Xenopus tropicalis: one gene and its partner. The protein of the gene in region 1 purifies or fractionates together with the protein of each later gene. This does not show direct contact. Links are inferred from orthologs where the notes say so. Each region holds a gene or a part of one and is shown on either strand. Other genes may lie near its edges.

The links. The genes of interacting proteins can lie anywhere in the genome.
Region 2: the proteins of kif24 (region 1) and ccp110 purify together in Homo sapiens (co-immunoprecipitation; 4 studies listed by BioGRID and IntAct, with this or other methods). This does not show direct contact. The link is inferred for Xenopus tropicalis from reciprocal best matches to the Homo sapiens genes KIF24 and CCP110.

Annotation. Positions count from the first base shown.
Region 1 is NC_030677.2:211,303,230-211,310,583, forward strand, and holds the start of kif24 (kinesin-like protein KIF24), read right to left. Parts: upstream 4,027-7,354; 5' UTR 3,917-4,026; exon of another isoform or gene 3,902-3,916; intron 1-3,901. UniProt on the Homo sapiens protein: Microtubule-dependent motor protein that acts as a negative regulator of ciliogenesis by mediating recruitment of CCP110 to mother centriole in cycling cells, leading to restrict nucleation of cilia at centrioles.
Region 2 is NC_030685.2:31,808,317-31,815,547, reverse strand, and holds the start of ccp110 (centriolar coiled-coil protein of 110 kDa), read right to left. Parts: upstream 3,948-7,231; 5' UTR 3,718-3,947; intron 1,920-3,717; 5' UTR 1,853-1,919; intron 1-1,852. Other genes in the region: gde1 (glycerophosphodiester phosphodiesterase 1), read left to right, coding at 4,157-4,429.

The DNA of each region.
Region 1 (7,354 bases):
AATGTATTGTTTATAAAGGAAAATGCTTTTGCTTACTCTGCCTGAGCTGAGCTCTCTTATCTCTCTCACCTTTTACAATGTTATACTTTTAGTATGTTATGGAATAGCCTATTCTTTTCATTCTTTATGGTTTTTTTAATTATTTGTTTTCCTCTTCAGCCTCTTCTTTAGCTTTCCAAACGGGGTCACTGCCCCCGGCAGTCAATAAACTATTGCTCTGTGAGGCTACAATTCTATTGTTATTTTTATTGTTTAACTTTCTATTCAGCCCCTTTCCTATTCATATTCCAGTCTATCTTTCAAACCACTGCCTGGTTGCTAGGTTAAATTGGACCATAGCAACCAAATAGCTGCTGTAATTCCTCACTGAAGCGCTGCTGAACAAAAATCTAATTAATTCAAAAACTGCAAATAAAAAATGAAGACCAATTCAAACCTTTCAGTTTTATCTATCTTTCCCCCTCTTCTCTCTCTTTATCTTTCATTCCTTGTTTGATGTATAGGATCTACATACCATAATAACTCTGCGCCAGGGGAATCCCTAATGGATGCCGTTGCTGTAACACTGTTTTGTAAAGATCGGTCCTTCTCCCCACAAACAGAATGTACAAAAGTGAGCGGATCTGCCACATAAACATTGAGTCTGGTCCCATACGGGGCAGGATTCCCGCTGCTATTGCCAAAGTGTAAGTGCAATGGGGTTAGTAACAGAGAAACAGGTGTAAATAAGTGATTATATATTCTCTTTTGAAACTGAAGGCTCGCTGTATGGCTTGATACTGGATCCCTGCTCCTATACACTGACCCCTTCCCCATGATAATCCTTTGCCTTAGGATCCTTCTACCAACATGAAACCCTAAACCTGCCACTTGCTGAAAGGCCGACTCCATCTGCTCCAGTTACACTTGTGCCCGTGCAGCCAATCTGCCCTTAATCACAAAAGCCACAGAGCAGGAGATTTGAACCAGTACCTATGCATTGTGGGTAGCACTATGAAATGCTGCAGTGCAGTTAGAGCACCATTATCAGGTTAGGAGCCATTGGACTTGGGGTGCCACTGACCAGAGAACCAGCAAAAGTCACACTCGAGGGACCAGGGACTTTACCCTGTAGCCAGTGGCCGGCTTTACTCCCCATAGCCACTACATACTGGGGATGTCGGAAGGCTAATATGTGAGTGTGTACGGCCGGCTTTACTCCCCATAGCCACTACATACTGGGGATGTCGGAAGGCTAATATGTGAGTGTACGGCCGGCTTTACTCCCCATAGCCACTACATACTGGGGATGTCGGAAGGCTAATATGTGAGTGTGTACGGCCGGCTTTACTCCCCATAGCCACTACATACTGGGGATGTCGGAAGGCTAATATGTGAGTGTGTACGGCCGGCTTTACTCCCATAGCCACTACATACTGGGGATGTCGGAAGGCTAATATGTGAGTGTGTACGGCCGGCTTTACTCCCCATAGCCACTACATACTGGGGATGTCGGAAGGCTAATATGTGAGTGTGTACGGCCGGCTTTAACTCCCCATAGCCACTACATACTGGGGTCGGAAGGCTAATAGTGAGGTACGGCCGGCTTTACCCCATAGCCACTAATACTGGGATGTCGGAGGCTAATAGTGAGGGTACGGCCGGCTTTACTCCCCATAGCCACTACATACTGGGGATGTCGGAAGGCTTAATATGTGAGGGTACGGGCCGGCTTTACTCCCCATAGCCACTACATACTGGGGATGTCGGAAGGCTAATATGTGAGGGTACGGCCGGCTTTACTCCCCCATAGGCCACTACATACTGGGGATGTCGGAAGGCTAATATGTGAGGGTACGGCCGGCTTTACTCCCCATAGCCACTACATACTGGGGATGTCGGAAGGCTAATATGTGAGGGTACGGCCGGCTTTACTCCCCATAGCCACTACATACTGGGGATGTCGGAAGGCTAATATGTGAGTGTGTACGGCCGGCTTTACTCCCCATAGCCACTACATACTGGGGATGTCGGAAGGCTAATATGTGAGTGTGTACGGCCGGCTTTACTCCCCATAGCCACTACATACTGGGGATGTCGGAAGGCTAATATGTGAGTGTGTACGGCCGGCTTTACTCCCCATAGCCACTACATACTGGGGATGTCGGAAGGCTAATATGTGAGTGTGTACGGCCGGCTTTACTCCCCATAGCCACTACATACTGGGGATGTCGGAAGGCTAATATGTGAGTGTGTACGGCCGGCTTTACTCCCCATAGCCACTACATACTGGGGATGTCGGAAGGCTAATATGTGAGGGTACGGCCGGCTTTACTCCCCATAGCCACTACATACTGGGATGTCGGAAGGCTTAATATGTGAGTGTGTACGCGCCGGCTTTACTCCCCATAGCCACTACATACTGGGGATGTCGGAAGGCTAATATGTGAGTGTACGGCCGGCTTTACTCCCCATAGCCACTACATACTGGGGGATGTCGGAGGCTAATATGTGAGGGTACGGCGGCTTTACTCCCCATAGCACTACTACTGGGATGTCGGAAGGCTAATATGTGAGGGTACGGCCGGCTTTACTCCCCATAGCCACTACATACTGGGGATGTCGGAAGGCTAATATGTGAGGGTACGGCCGGCTTTACTCCCCATAGCCACTACATACTGGGGATGTCGGAAGGCTAATATGTGAGTGTGTACGGCCGGCTTTACTCCCCATAGCCCACTACATACTGGGGATGTCGGAAGGCTAATATGTGAGGGTAACGGCCGGCTCCCCATAGCCACTACATACTGGGGATGTCGGCAAGGCTAATTTGTGAGTGTGTACAGGCCGGCTTTACTCCCCCATAGCCACTACATACTGGGGATGTCGGAAGAGCTAATATGTGAGTGTGTACGGCGGCTTTACTCCCCATAGCCACTACATACTGGGGATGTCGGAAGGCTAATATGTAGGGTCGGCCGGCTTTACTCCCCATAGCCACTACATACTGGGGATGTCGGAAGGCTAATATGTGAGTGTGTACGGCCGGCTTTACTCCCCATAGCCACTACATACTGGGATGTCGGAAGGCTAATATGTGAGGGTACGGCCGGCTTTACTCCCCATAGCCACTACATACTGGGGAGAGCCCCGCAGCTAAGGAGTTCCTACCCAGGGAAATATACTCTGCTATGAGTTTTAACTACCAGGGCTTAATAAAATAATACAAAAAAAAAAAAAAAAAAAGATATATATACACACACACACACACACACAGCAGTTTGTATGAGAAAGTTGCACTTTGGGAAACCAAGCGCTCCCAGCCCCCCCCCCCCCCGCCCATACTCCCCCCCTGCCATACTCCCCCCCCCCTGCCATACTCCCCCCCCCTGCCATACTCCCCCCCCCCTGCCAACTCCCCCCCCCCCCCTGCCATACTCCCCCCAGTGCCCAGGAAGATGCCCCCTTAGCCAAACACAATCTGCCTCTCAGTCAGGGCACCAATCACTGGAACCTGCTGCCTTCCTGCCACTGTTCCCTCTAAGCTGTGCGCGTGTGCGCGCGCACACGACTTTCCGAACCCGCGCACACAAATTAAAATAGCGCGCACAAAAATTTAATTTTTGTAACTTGATTTAGACAAACTGAAAGACCTGCGCAAAAATGCCCATAACTGAACTCCAACAAACATTCTGTAGCGCACAAAAATTTAATCTTGCTTTAAAATGCGCACGGATGATATTTTTTGCGCACACAGCCTATAAAAAATTAGAGGGAACGTTGCTTCCTGCCCCTCACGGATTCCTTCTTTCCTTCCCCCTCTGAGCCCGCACCCACACACTGTACCCCGGTTTCCTCTCACCCTGCCCCGGTAGCCCCAGTAGCCCCGGTAGCCCTGCCCCATCCCCCCTGCCCTACTAACCCGGTTCCCGCTCACCACATGCCGCGGTCCCGCCGCCTCTCTCTCCGCATTCGCTACTCTCTTCTCTCCCAGTCACGCAACAGCTGGGGCGGTCACCATAGCAACGCCGCTCAAGCCGTTTAAACCATAGCTCGCAGGAAGTGACGGTTACAGACATGTGACTAAGGAGTAGGCGGGGAAAAGGCGCTCGTCTCCCTATCACGTGACCAGAAGCGGCGCTGCCTGTCCCACGGAATGGTATGAGTAGGAATGAGGGGAATCTGAGCGCTCTTGTGGGAAAGGGGGGCTAGAGGTAAGGGAGTGCTAGAGGTAAGGGGGGGGGCTAGAGGTAAGGGGGGGCTAGAGGTAAGGGGGGGAGGGCTAGAGGTAAGGGGGGCTAGAGGTAAGGGGGGGCTAGAGGTAAGGGGGGAGGCTAGAGGTAAGGGGGGGCTAGAGGTAAGGGGGGGAGGGCTAGAGGTAAGGGGGGGCTAGAGGTAAGGGGGGGCTAGAGGTAAGGGGGGGGAGGGCTAGAGGTAAGGGGGGGCTAGAGGTAAGGGGGGGAGGGCTAGAGGTAAGGGGGGGCTAGAGGTAAGGGGGGGGGCTAGAGGTAAGGGGGAGTGCTAGAGGTAAGGGAGGGCTAGAGGTAAGGGAGTGCTAGAGGTAAGGGGGGGCTACAGGTAAGGGGGGGAGGGCTAGAGGTAAGGGGGGCTAGAGGTAAGGGCTAGAGGTAAGGGGGGGGGCTAGAGGTAAGGGGGGGCTAGAGGTAAGGGGGAGGGCTAGAGGTAAGGGGGGGGCTAGAGGTAAGGGAGGGCTAGAGGTAAGGGAGGGCTAGAGGTAAGGGAGGGCTAGAGGTAAGGGGGGGCTAGAGGTAAGGGAGGGCTAGTGGTAAGGGGTGAGTGCTAGAGGTAAAGGGGGGCTAGAGGTAAGGGGGCACTAGAGGTAAGGGGGCACTAGAGGTAAGGGGGGGCTAGAGGTAAGGTGGGAGGGCTAGAGGTAAGGGGGGCTAGAGGTAAGGGGGAGGGCTAGAGGTAAGGGGGAGGGCTAGAGGTAAGGGGGGGGCTAGAGGTAAGGAGGGCTAGAGGTAAGGGGGAGGGCTAGAGGTAAGGGGGGGCTAGAGGTAAGGGGGAGGGCTAGAGGTAAGGGGAGGGCTAGAGGTAAGGGGGAGGGCTAGAGGTAAGGGGGAGGGCTAGAGGTAAGGGGGAGGGCTAGAGGTAAGGGGGGGCTAGAGGTAAGGGGGGGCTAGAGGTAAGGGAGGGCTAGTGGTAAGGGGTGAGTGCTAGAGGTAAAGGGGGGCTAGAGGTAAGGGGGCAACTAGAGGTAAGGGGGGCTAGAGGTAAGGGAGGGCTAGTGGTAAGGGGTGAGTGCTAGAGGTAAAGGGGGGCTAGAGGTAAGGGGCACTAGAGGTAAGGGGGGCTAGAGGTAAGGGGGGAGGGCTAGAGGTAAGGGGGGGCTAAGAGGTAAGGGGGGGCTAGAGGTAAGGGAGGGCTAGTGGTAAGGGGTGAGTGCTAGAGGTAAAGGGGGGCTAGAGGTAAGGGGGCACTAGAGGTAAGGGGGCACTAGAGGTAAGGGGGGGCTAGAGGTAAAGGGGGGCTAGAGGTAAGGGGGGAGTGCTAGAGGTAAGGGAGGGGCTAGAGGTAAGGGGGAGGGCTAGAGGTAGGGGGGAGGGCTAGAGGTAAGGGGGGAGGGCTAGAGGTAAGGGGGGGGGGCGCTAGAGGTAAGGGGGGAGTGCTAGAGGTAAGGGGGGGGCTAGAGGTAAGGGGGGAGTGCTAGAGGTAAGGGGGGAGTGCTAGAGGTAAGGGGGGAGTGCTAGAGGTAAGGGGGGGTCTAGAGGTAAGGGAGGGCTAGAGGTAAGGGGGGCACTAGAGGTAAGGGGGGAGTGCTAGAAGTAAGGGGGGAGTGCTAGAGGTAAGGGGGGCTAGAGGTAAGGGGGGAGTGCTAGAGGTAAGGGAGGGGCTAGAGGTAAGGGAGGGCTAGAGGTAAGGGAGGGGCTAGAGGTAAGGGGGGGGCTAGAGGTAAGGGAGGGGCTAGAGGTAAGGGAGGGCTAGAGGTAAGGGGGGAGTGCTAGAGGTAAGGGAGGGCTAGAGGTAAGGAGGGCTAGAGGTAAGGGGGGAGTGCTAGAAGTAAGGGGGGAGTGCTAGAGGTAAGGGGGGCTAGAGGTAAGGGGGGAGTGCTAGAGGTAAGGGGGAGTGCTAGAGGTAAGGGAGGGGCTAGAGGTAAGGGAGGGGCTAGAGTAAGGGAGGGGCTAGAGGTAAGGGAGGGGCTAGAGGTAAGGGAGGGCTAGAGGTAAGGGAGGGCTAGAGGTAAGGGGGGAGTGCTAGAAGTAAGGGGGGAGTGCTAGAAGTAAGGGGGGAGTGCTAGAGGTAAGGGGGGGGCTAGAGGTAAGGGGGGGGCTAGAGGTAAGGGGGGGGCTAGAGGTAAGGGAGGGGCTAGAGGTAAGGGAGGGCTAGAGGTAAGGGGGGCTAGAGGTAAGGGGGGGCTAGAGGTAAGGGAGGGCTAGTGGTAAGGGGTGAGTGCTAGAGGTAAAGGGGGGCTAGAGGTAAGGGGGGCTAGAGGTAAGGGGGAGTGCTAGAGGTAAGGGGGGAGTGCTAGAGGTAAGGGAGGGCTAGAGGTAAGGGAGGGGCTAGAGGTAAGGAGGGGCTAGAGGTAAGGGGGGGCTAGAGGTAAGGGAGGGCTAGAGGTAAGGGGGAGGCTAGAAGTAAGGGGGCGAGTGCTAGAAGTAAGGGGGGGAGTGCTAGAAGTAAGGGGGGAGTGCTAGAGGTAAGGGGGGGGGCTAGAGGTAAGGGGGGGGCTAGAGGTAAGGGGGGGGCTAGAGGTAAGGGAGGGCTAGAGGTAAGGGAGGGGCTAGAGGTAAGGGGGGGCTAGAGGTAAGGGGGGGCTAGAGGTAAGGGGGGCTAGAGGTAAGGGAGGGCTAGTGGTAAGGGGGAGTGCTAGAGGTAAAGGGGGGCTAGAGGCTAGAGGTAAGGGGGCTAGAGGTAAGGGGGGAGTGCTAGAGGTAAGGGGAGGGGCTAGAGGTAAGGAGGGGCTAGAGGTAAGGGAGGGCTAGAGGTAAGGGGGGAGGGCTAGAGGTAAGGGAGGGGCTAGAGGTAAGGGGGGAGGGCTAGAGGTAAGGGAGGGCTAGAGGTAAGGGGGGAGGGCTAGAGGTAAGGGAGGGCTAGAGGTAAGGGGGGAGTGCTAGAGGTAAGGGAGGGCTAGAGGTAAGGGGAAACATTTGTGAAAAGTGGGGCGCTGTGTTCATAAATAGGCCTGATAGTAACTTGCAGGCAGCTGTTCAATTGGTTTATATCTCTCTGTTACTAAGATTGCTATTGGGAGCAGTGTCTGTGCTGTTCCCCTGTCTCCCATAGGGGCCATTCACACAATACTCCCCACAGTGTACTGTAAAGGCCTCAATCTGCCATTTTTTATTTTTTGCCCAATGCGCTGGGCATCATGGGAACAGCGGCCGCTCTCTCTCTCCATTGTGAAGCACAGAGC
Region 2 (7,231 bases), on another chromosome or scaffold:
GGCCTTGTGGCTTTATACGGTAAAGGAACTCTTTCATGATTTCTAGTAACCTAATGTTTTACAATAGGGACTAATACACAGCCTTGGAGAAATGGATGCTTGAATTCAATGTAAAGCAGTCCAGATGTTGAAGAGATTTATTGTGAGCATTAGCTGATGTACTAACTTTCCTTTCTGAGACATGAAAACAATTCGGTCAGCTTATGATAAGCCAATTAACAGGCTGGCAACAGCGAGATTTATGAACTATGTTATTAAACCAGCCCTAAGTGTTAAAGAAGTGATGGTGTAAGAGTTATAGGTATGACAGCAGAACATTTTCTGGCACAAATCCTGCATATGATATTGTTGATGAGCACCAGGAGTGCTATGGTTGCTTACCTGACCAGAAAAGCCAGTTTTTATCTATGAATATCTCTGGGATCAAGAAATAATAGTTAAATATGCTGACTGTGACTTTATGACATGTGAATTTTAGAACTATATTAAGAACTAAAGAACACATTCAAAATCTGTTTATTTTAATAATGGTTGACCTTCAGCTTTGGAGCTTTCAGCTCTGTACATTAAGGGGCAGATTTTTCATAAGTTGTTTAAAATTAGACTTCACCACAGTAAAATTCCCACTCTCTATTCATACCTATGGGATTTTTAGAAGGGTACTCATCAAATGGTAAACTCTAACATTTTTTATAAATCTGTTATATGTCATATTCTGTTTTAGGATCCCTGACAGCAACCATTAACCAGGAGCCGATTGGAAAAATGGAAGTCAATAACCCAGCTAGAGTGCTATTAATTATAATTATAGGGTGGATGAGTATTAGTTCTTCTCTCAAATGGATATATTTATAAAACAGAAAATGTCAAAATACATACCTATGTTACACTGATTACCTGTGGGGTGGTTACGTTTGGGTTCAAAATAAATCTTATTACAGTAGATTCAATTCCAACCTGAGTACAGGCATGGAATGCGTTATCCAGAAGGCCATCTCCCACAGACTCAATTATAATCAAATAATCAACTTTTTTTTAAAATGATTTTCTTTCTCTCGTAATATTACAGCAGAACATTGTATTTGATCCCAGCTAACATATAATTAATCTTTATTGGAAGCAAAACAATCCTATTAGGTTTAATTAATGTCTAAATTACGGAAAGACCCCTTGTTTGAAAAACCCCACGTCCCGAGCATTCTTGATAATAGGCCCCAGACTTGTACTATCTGCATGGATTGAATGTTCCCTATTTGTGAGAGTTTACTCTGGGAACTCCAGTTACCTTCTGCATGCCAAAACATAAATAGGCAGCAGGTTCTTAATTAAAATGACTTCACTGTATGTAATAGAGATTCACTGAATCCATAATTTTTATTTATTTTGGCTGAATACTCAATCTTTCAAAAAAGATTACTGAATACTACACCAATTCTGAACTGTAAGTTGAATATTCACATTTAATATAAATAAAAAATTGCATTGTGTTGCCCAGAGCCATTATATGATTTTTGGGGGTTGGATTTGGTTCAGCTGAATCCTGGAAACAGTCCTGGGATTCAGCCAAATCCTAAACAGAATCCTGGAATTGGTGCATCCCTAGTATTTACATGAAAGGGTCCTTACACGGTTAGCGTAACTGGGGCATGACATAATGGGACTGATGAATGATTTCTGTAAAGCACTATAGAATATATCAGCAGAAATACAAAAAAATTAAAATAATGCAGGTTCAGTTGGGTCCAGACTAAACAGAAAAATGCACATGGACCAGTAGCCCAGAACAGATAGTTATAAAAAGATGCAGCTACAGGAAATAATGTAGAATAAGCAAATCATTAGGCATACACACCTGGGTTTCTTTGGAAGATGGAAAGTTATGATGTGCTTGTACAGGAGAAAAAGATATTCTTCTTATTCTGCAAATGAAAGAAAAATAACAGGGTTACTACAAAAGGGTACATTTAAATGATAAAGTTCCACATCAAACCAGAAACAAGGTTTATCATGAGGCTTGAAACAATAAATCATCAATATTTCCATTAAAAAAAAGGATTTAAGGGAGTAAAATATAAATGGATAAAGGGTAAAGGTGGGCACACAGAGGTTTTGGAATATTGCTAATTTTTTTTACAAACAGAAACAAAAAGATTTTGAAAGATCAAAATCAAAGAAAAGAAGAATAGATAATATGGCTCATTTATTTCTGCAAGTGTGCACACACCATATTGTTTTTCCCAGAATTTCACTGCGGTCGCAAAGGGGTAATGAGCTCTTTGCTTCTAATTCATCAAAATTAACGCACCTGTACTTGCATTTCATTGCAAATCAAAAGCAATTACGCACAAGTCTGCTTGTACCACCTGGCCAGGAGGTACTAGTAGCAACAGATTCCCCTGAATCAATAGGTGTAGCAGTACTCCCCTATATTATTATTTATTTATTTATACACACATATATTTATAATATGCATGCATGTCCTGTAAATTATATCCTTACAAACAGTGCTTAGTGATGTCATCAGTTATAATCGCTTAGTGATTTCTGTTACACGACTTACTGAAAATTGTGTATTATAATAAATAATACACAAGTATTATTTAATACAAGTACCCCCAACTTTGCCTTCGGCCTCGTGCCTTTATATGGAATGCAAATATTAACTGCAGGTTTCATCAAAATATGATGTTTTGTTTAGGCAGTAGAAGCATCATACCTACTGTTATGGAATATATTACCCTCTTCATCAAATTATCTAGAATAGAATGCTGGTGCTTTAGTTCAGTTGTAGTGGTTACACTAAAGGTTTCCTATGCCTATGACTGTGGCATACTGAGAGATGTAGTGGAACAACAGATGATGCTGCAGTTTGCACATGCTTTGACTGAAAACCACCATTGCTATTGTTTATTAGTGATGTGCAGGTCAGGAAAAACTAAACCCGCACCCGACCTTAACATGTGAAATGTTGCCAAATTAGGGCCCATACTCAACCCTTAACCGGCGATTAACATTATAGCCGGTGGGATGGCATTTCGGGGGGATTAGTTGCCCCCATGTGCCACAGCCCTTACACTACTTCTGTGTGCGCCTCTAGTCCCAAGAAAGATAATCCTTGGAAGAAGGAATGTTCTTCCCCAGTCTGACATGCACCCATCCCAGAACCACTATGGTCACTCAAATCTCAACCTAAGCCTGCCCGACCCGCAGGTTTAGGTCAACCTACATATACATATGCACCCACAATTGTAACATGTATGAATATTAGTGACCAAGAAGTCCCATGACCACCGAGAGGCACAGTCATGGAAATCTGAGGTGGGGGGAATTTTTTTGTTTATTATACATATAATACATATGAGTTACATTACTAAGCACTGATTACAACTGATGACATCACTATGCCAATACACACACATATATAGATAGATGATAGATATAGATAGATAGATAGATACCCAACAGCCAGTCAATTGCCATGAAAGAACATTACAGCTATGATAAAAGGGTGAGCTCCTTTACCCAAAGGGACGTGTTACAGCCCCACAGCAGATCTAAATTCTGTACTTTCAAAGTAAATTCCCCCGCTGTACTGGGAAAAGTACAAGGCACGCCAAATTCGTCCTTATTATTATGGTAGCAAGTCCCAGCATCCTCACTTGATACCCATGTATAAACTACATGGCCAGTTACACAAGATAAAAAGCCATTTCTTACCCACACAGATGAAAAGCCATTCACAGAAACATTGTGTCTCCCAGACGCCCTGCCCAACAACTCCACACTTTCTGCTGGTTAACAGTGGCAGAACAATGCAGGGATGGCTCCGGGCTGCTGACAGTTCAGAACCCGCCTCCACCCCGCCATATTTTGAGGTCTCCGGCGGCAACTACAGCGCCTGGCAACGGCCGGCAGATACACGCCCCATTTTTACTTGTGGGAGGGACTTGCGTTTAAGGGCGGAATTCTAACAAGACAGTTCCGGGTTGCTGGGCGTGGCTATTGGTGGGATTCGGCGCTGGGTATTCGGAACTACATCTTCCATCGTCCCCAAGCAGGCGGCACAGGCAGAGGGACGCTGGGAGTTGTAGTTCTTGCAACGTCAATACACCCGGTGTATGTTTGGAGCGACCGGTTTCGTGTCTCTGGGCTCCGTATGCTTTTATCTGCCCCCGCCATGCTGTGGGGTGATGGCCTCTTGGCTTCATTCAGTAGCATTTTCCTTGTGCTGCTGCTGCTGACTCGGAACCCGCTTCTCACGTCCCTGGTTACGGGCGGTATCTATCTGCTGCTGGTTTTCTGTAGGTTCGAGCCGGTGCCCCAATCCCGGGCCCTGCAGGTGCTGAAACCTAAAGGGAGGGCGGCTACAGTAGCCCATAGAGGCGGGGGGCACGATGCTCCTGAGAACACCCTGGCCGCCATCAGAACCGTCAGTATCTCTTTTCTCTATAGCCCCACATGCGAACCTAATAATAAATGTCATTCTTAGCGCTTTCCACTATAGATTCAATAATGATTTCCAGCCATTGTCATTGAAAGCTGTACATCGTTTGTCCCCTGATATTATATGCATTGCCGGTTCTGACTTCTAATCATACACAGGGAAGCCATGAACACTCGTCTGCCAGGGTTACTAGCTGCATTAATATTTGCAAATAACTTTAAAACCATTGTAAAAGCTGCTTAGAATTTCATTATATCTTGGGTTTACCTTCACCTTTTATTCATCCGACAGCAAAGCTGAAATGAAATCTCATTTAGGGTGAAGACACACTTAGCTACTTAGTAGCAGCTACTTTTTCACAGCTACTAAACGCCAGAAAACACCCTGCCAAAGACAATACTGAGAATTGCCTCTGCTAAAACACGGGTAGAGACAATTATCAATAAATGATCAGCATTGTCTATTTTTGTAGCCAGGACAAGTAGCTGCTACTAGTAGCTCCATGTGTCTTCACCCTTAGGGCTCTGGCACACGGGGAGATTAGTCGCCCGTGACAAATCTCCCGTGTCTCAGTCGACTAATCTCCCAGAGTTGCCATCACCTGCCATCCCTCCGGCTAAAGTGTAAGTCGCCGGTGGGATGGCACACGCGGCGGCACGATTTCAGTGAGATCGCGCAAGTTGCCTCGAGAGGAAACTTGCACCATCTCACTGAAATCGCGCCGCCGCGTGTGCCATCCCACCGGCGATTTACATTTTCGCTGGTGGGATGGCATTTGGGGGAGATTAGTCGCCCGAGACACGGGAGATTTGTCGCGGGCGACTAATCTCCCCGTGTGCCAGAGCCCTTAGAGCTTTAGTTTCTGTATATACAGCATCACACAAGGCATATTTTGTTACATTATGAGCAATAAACTTTAATAATATTTAGTTTAGTATCCAGCCAGTTGCATGGTTTCACTATATGTAACCAGTAAATGTTTGCGCTGTGATTGGTTTGTGCACAACTTATTCTTTTGCTGCCTAAAATATTTGCAGCATTTGCAGTAGCTATGAGTGAGGCTGAGTTGGCTCATTTCAAGCATATAGTAACTAGCATACTCTCTTGTGGGTGTGGGCGTTGTATGTCTCATACAATTTTGCAGCTGTCTCCCATACGTATCATTGTAAATATGCATTGACGGATTTTTAGAACACACAGTGGGTTATACCTTCATGTCTATTTAAAGAAGGGAATGCCTTTCATATAAATCTATGACAGCAGTAAGTCAACATTTAAATATTGAATATGCAGCATATCTTAAAGGAAATGTAACCCTTAAAAATAAATGAATGTGAAATTGCACAAAGTAATAAGAATTTTGTAACATCGCCACCTGTTGGTCAGTTATTCTAACTGTACAGTTAATTACAATATGTTCAGAAGGAAAAAGTGATATGTTCTGATGTTGCTATACTCGGGCAGGAGATTACAAACCTCAGATGTTCTTTCCTATGTATTTCTGAGAACAGAAACATCAGAATAGTTTCCTGTTTTCCTTCTGAACATGTTCTCCCCCCACTTTGGAGTTGGAAGTTGTTGTCTATGGCACTTTATAGCAGCACCTCTGAAATTTGACGGAACTTCTTGTATATTGTATGTTTAACTGAATTATTCATTTAAATGAGTAAATCACTCTGCAATTGAATTAGAATGTGCAAAATACCTGCATTTTGCTCTAGAGCCGTGCCAGTAAGTTGCTGTGGGTCACAATCAATCATGAGAAAGGCTGTGCACCCATAGTGTCAACTTTTGTTTGATCTGTGCTGTGTTTTTTTTCTTGTATTCTATAGCATGGTACCCTCACTATTAACTAACCATGGGTGGTGGTCCCACAGATAACTGAATGAAACCAGTTATAGATATGTGTGATATTAGCAGTTTGATACTGAATTATTGTGCTACTGGCACAGTTGGTGTGTCTTTCAGAGCTGCTGTGGTTGTGGCTGAGAATAAGCTTGTAAGTTAATTCAGCAAGTGTCAAATCCGAGAACTGCCAAGACCTAAAATGTAATGAGTGGGGGCTTAGAAAGTAGAACTGGTGATGGAGAGAAGCAACCCCTTCCCTCTGGCTGCCGGACAACTTTAAAGGGGACCTGTCACCCAGACATAAAAAAAAGTATATTAAAAGTCCTTTTCAAAGTAAACATGAAACTCAAATTTATTTTTTGTATCAATATATCCATACACATTATTAAGGCATTTAAAAATCCCTCATCTTTTGCCTTCTCAGCCTCTCACTTTCTATTCAGCACTCACTTCCCCCTCCCTCCTCACCAACTATTTGTGTAGCTAGTGCATCAGGTCCCCCATTCTGGCACATAAAATCTTGCCATGATGCAAAGCTTGCCTTAATAACATTGCCCACAAAATGGCACCTGCCTGCTTGCTGTGATTGTGTAATTCCAAGAATGAGGAAATAAAGATTAATATTATTTATATAATGTTAATGAAGTTTATTATGCTTGACAAACACAATAGAAAATAATTTGGAATTCTTTTTTAGGGTGACAGGTCCCCAAGCGGTCAGAGAGAGAGAGAGGAACAAACACAGCTATACTAGCAATGCCACCTGCATGTTAACCCTTGGCCACCAGTACAGCAGCTCTGTGAGATTCCTTCTGAGCCTAATGCCCAATTTACTATTCATAAAAAATACTAAAAATAAAAAATGTAAATAAGTTGCAAATGTTCTATGAAGAGAAATTGGAGCAGTTTTACTTGAATTTAATTTTTTCTTGTAGACAT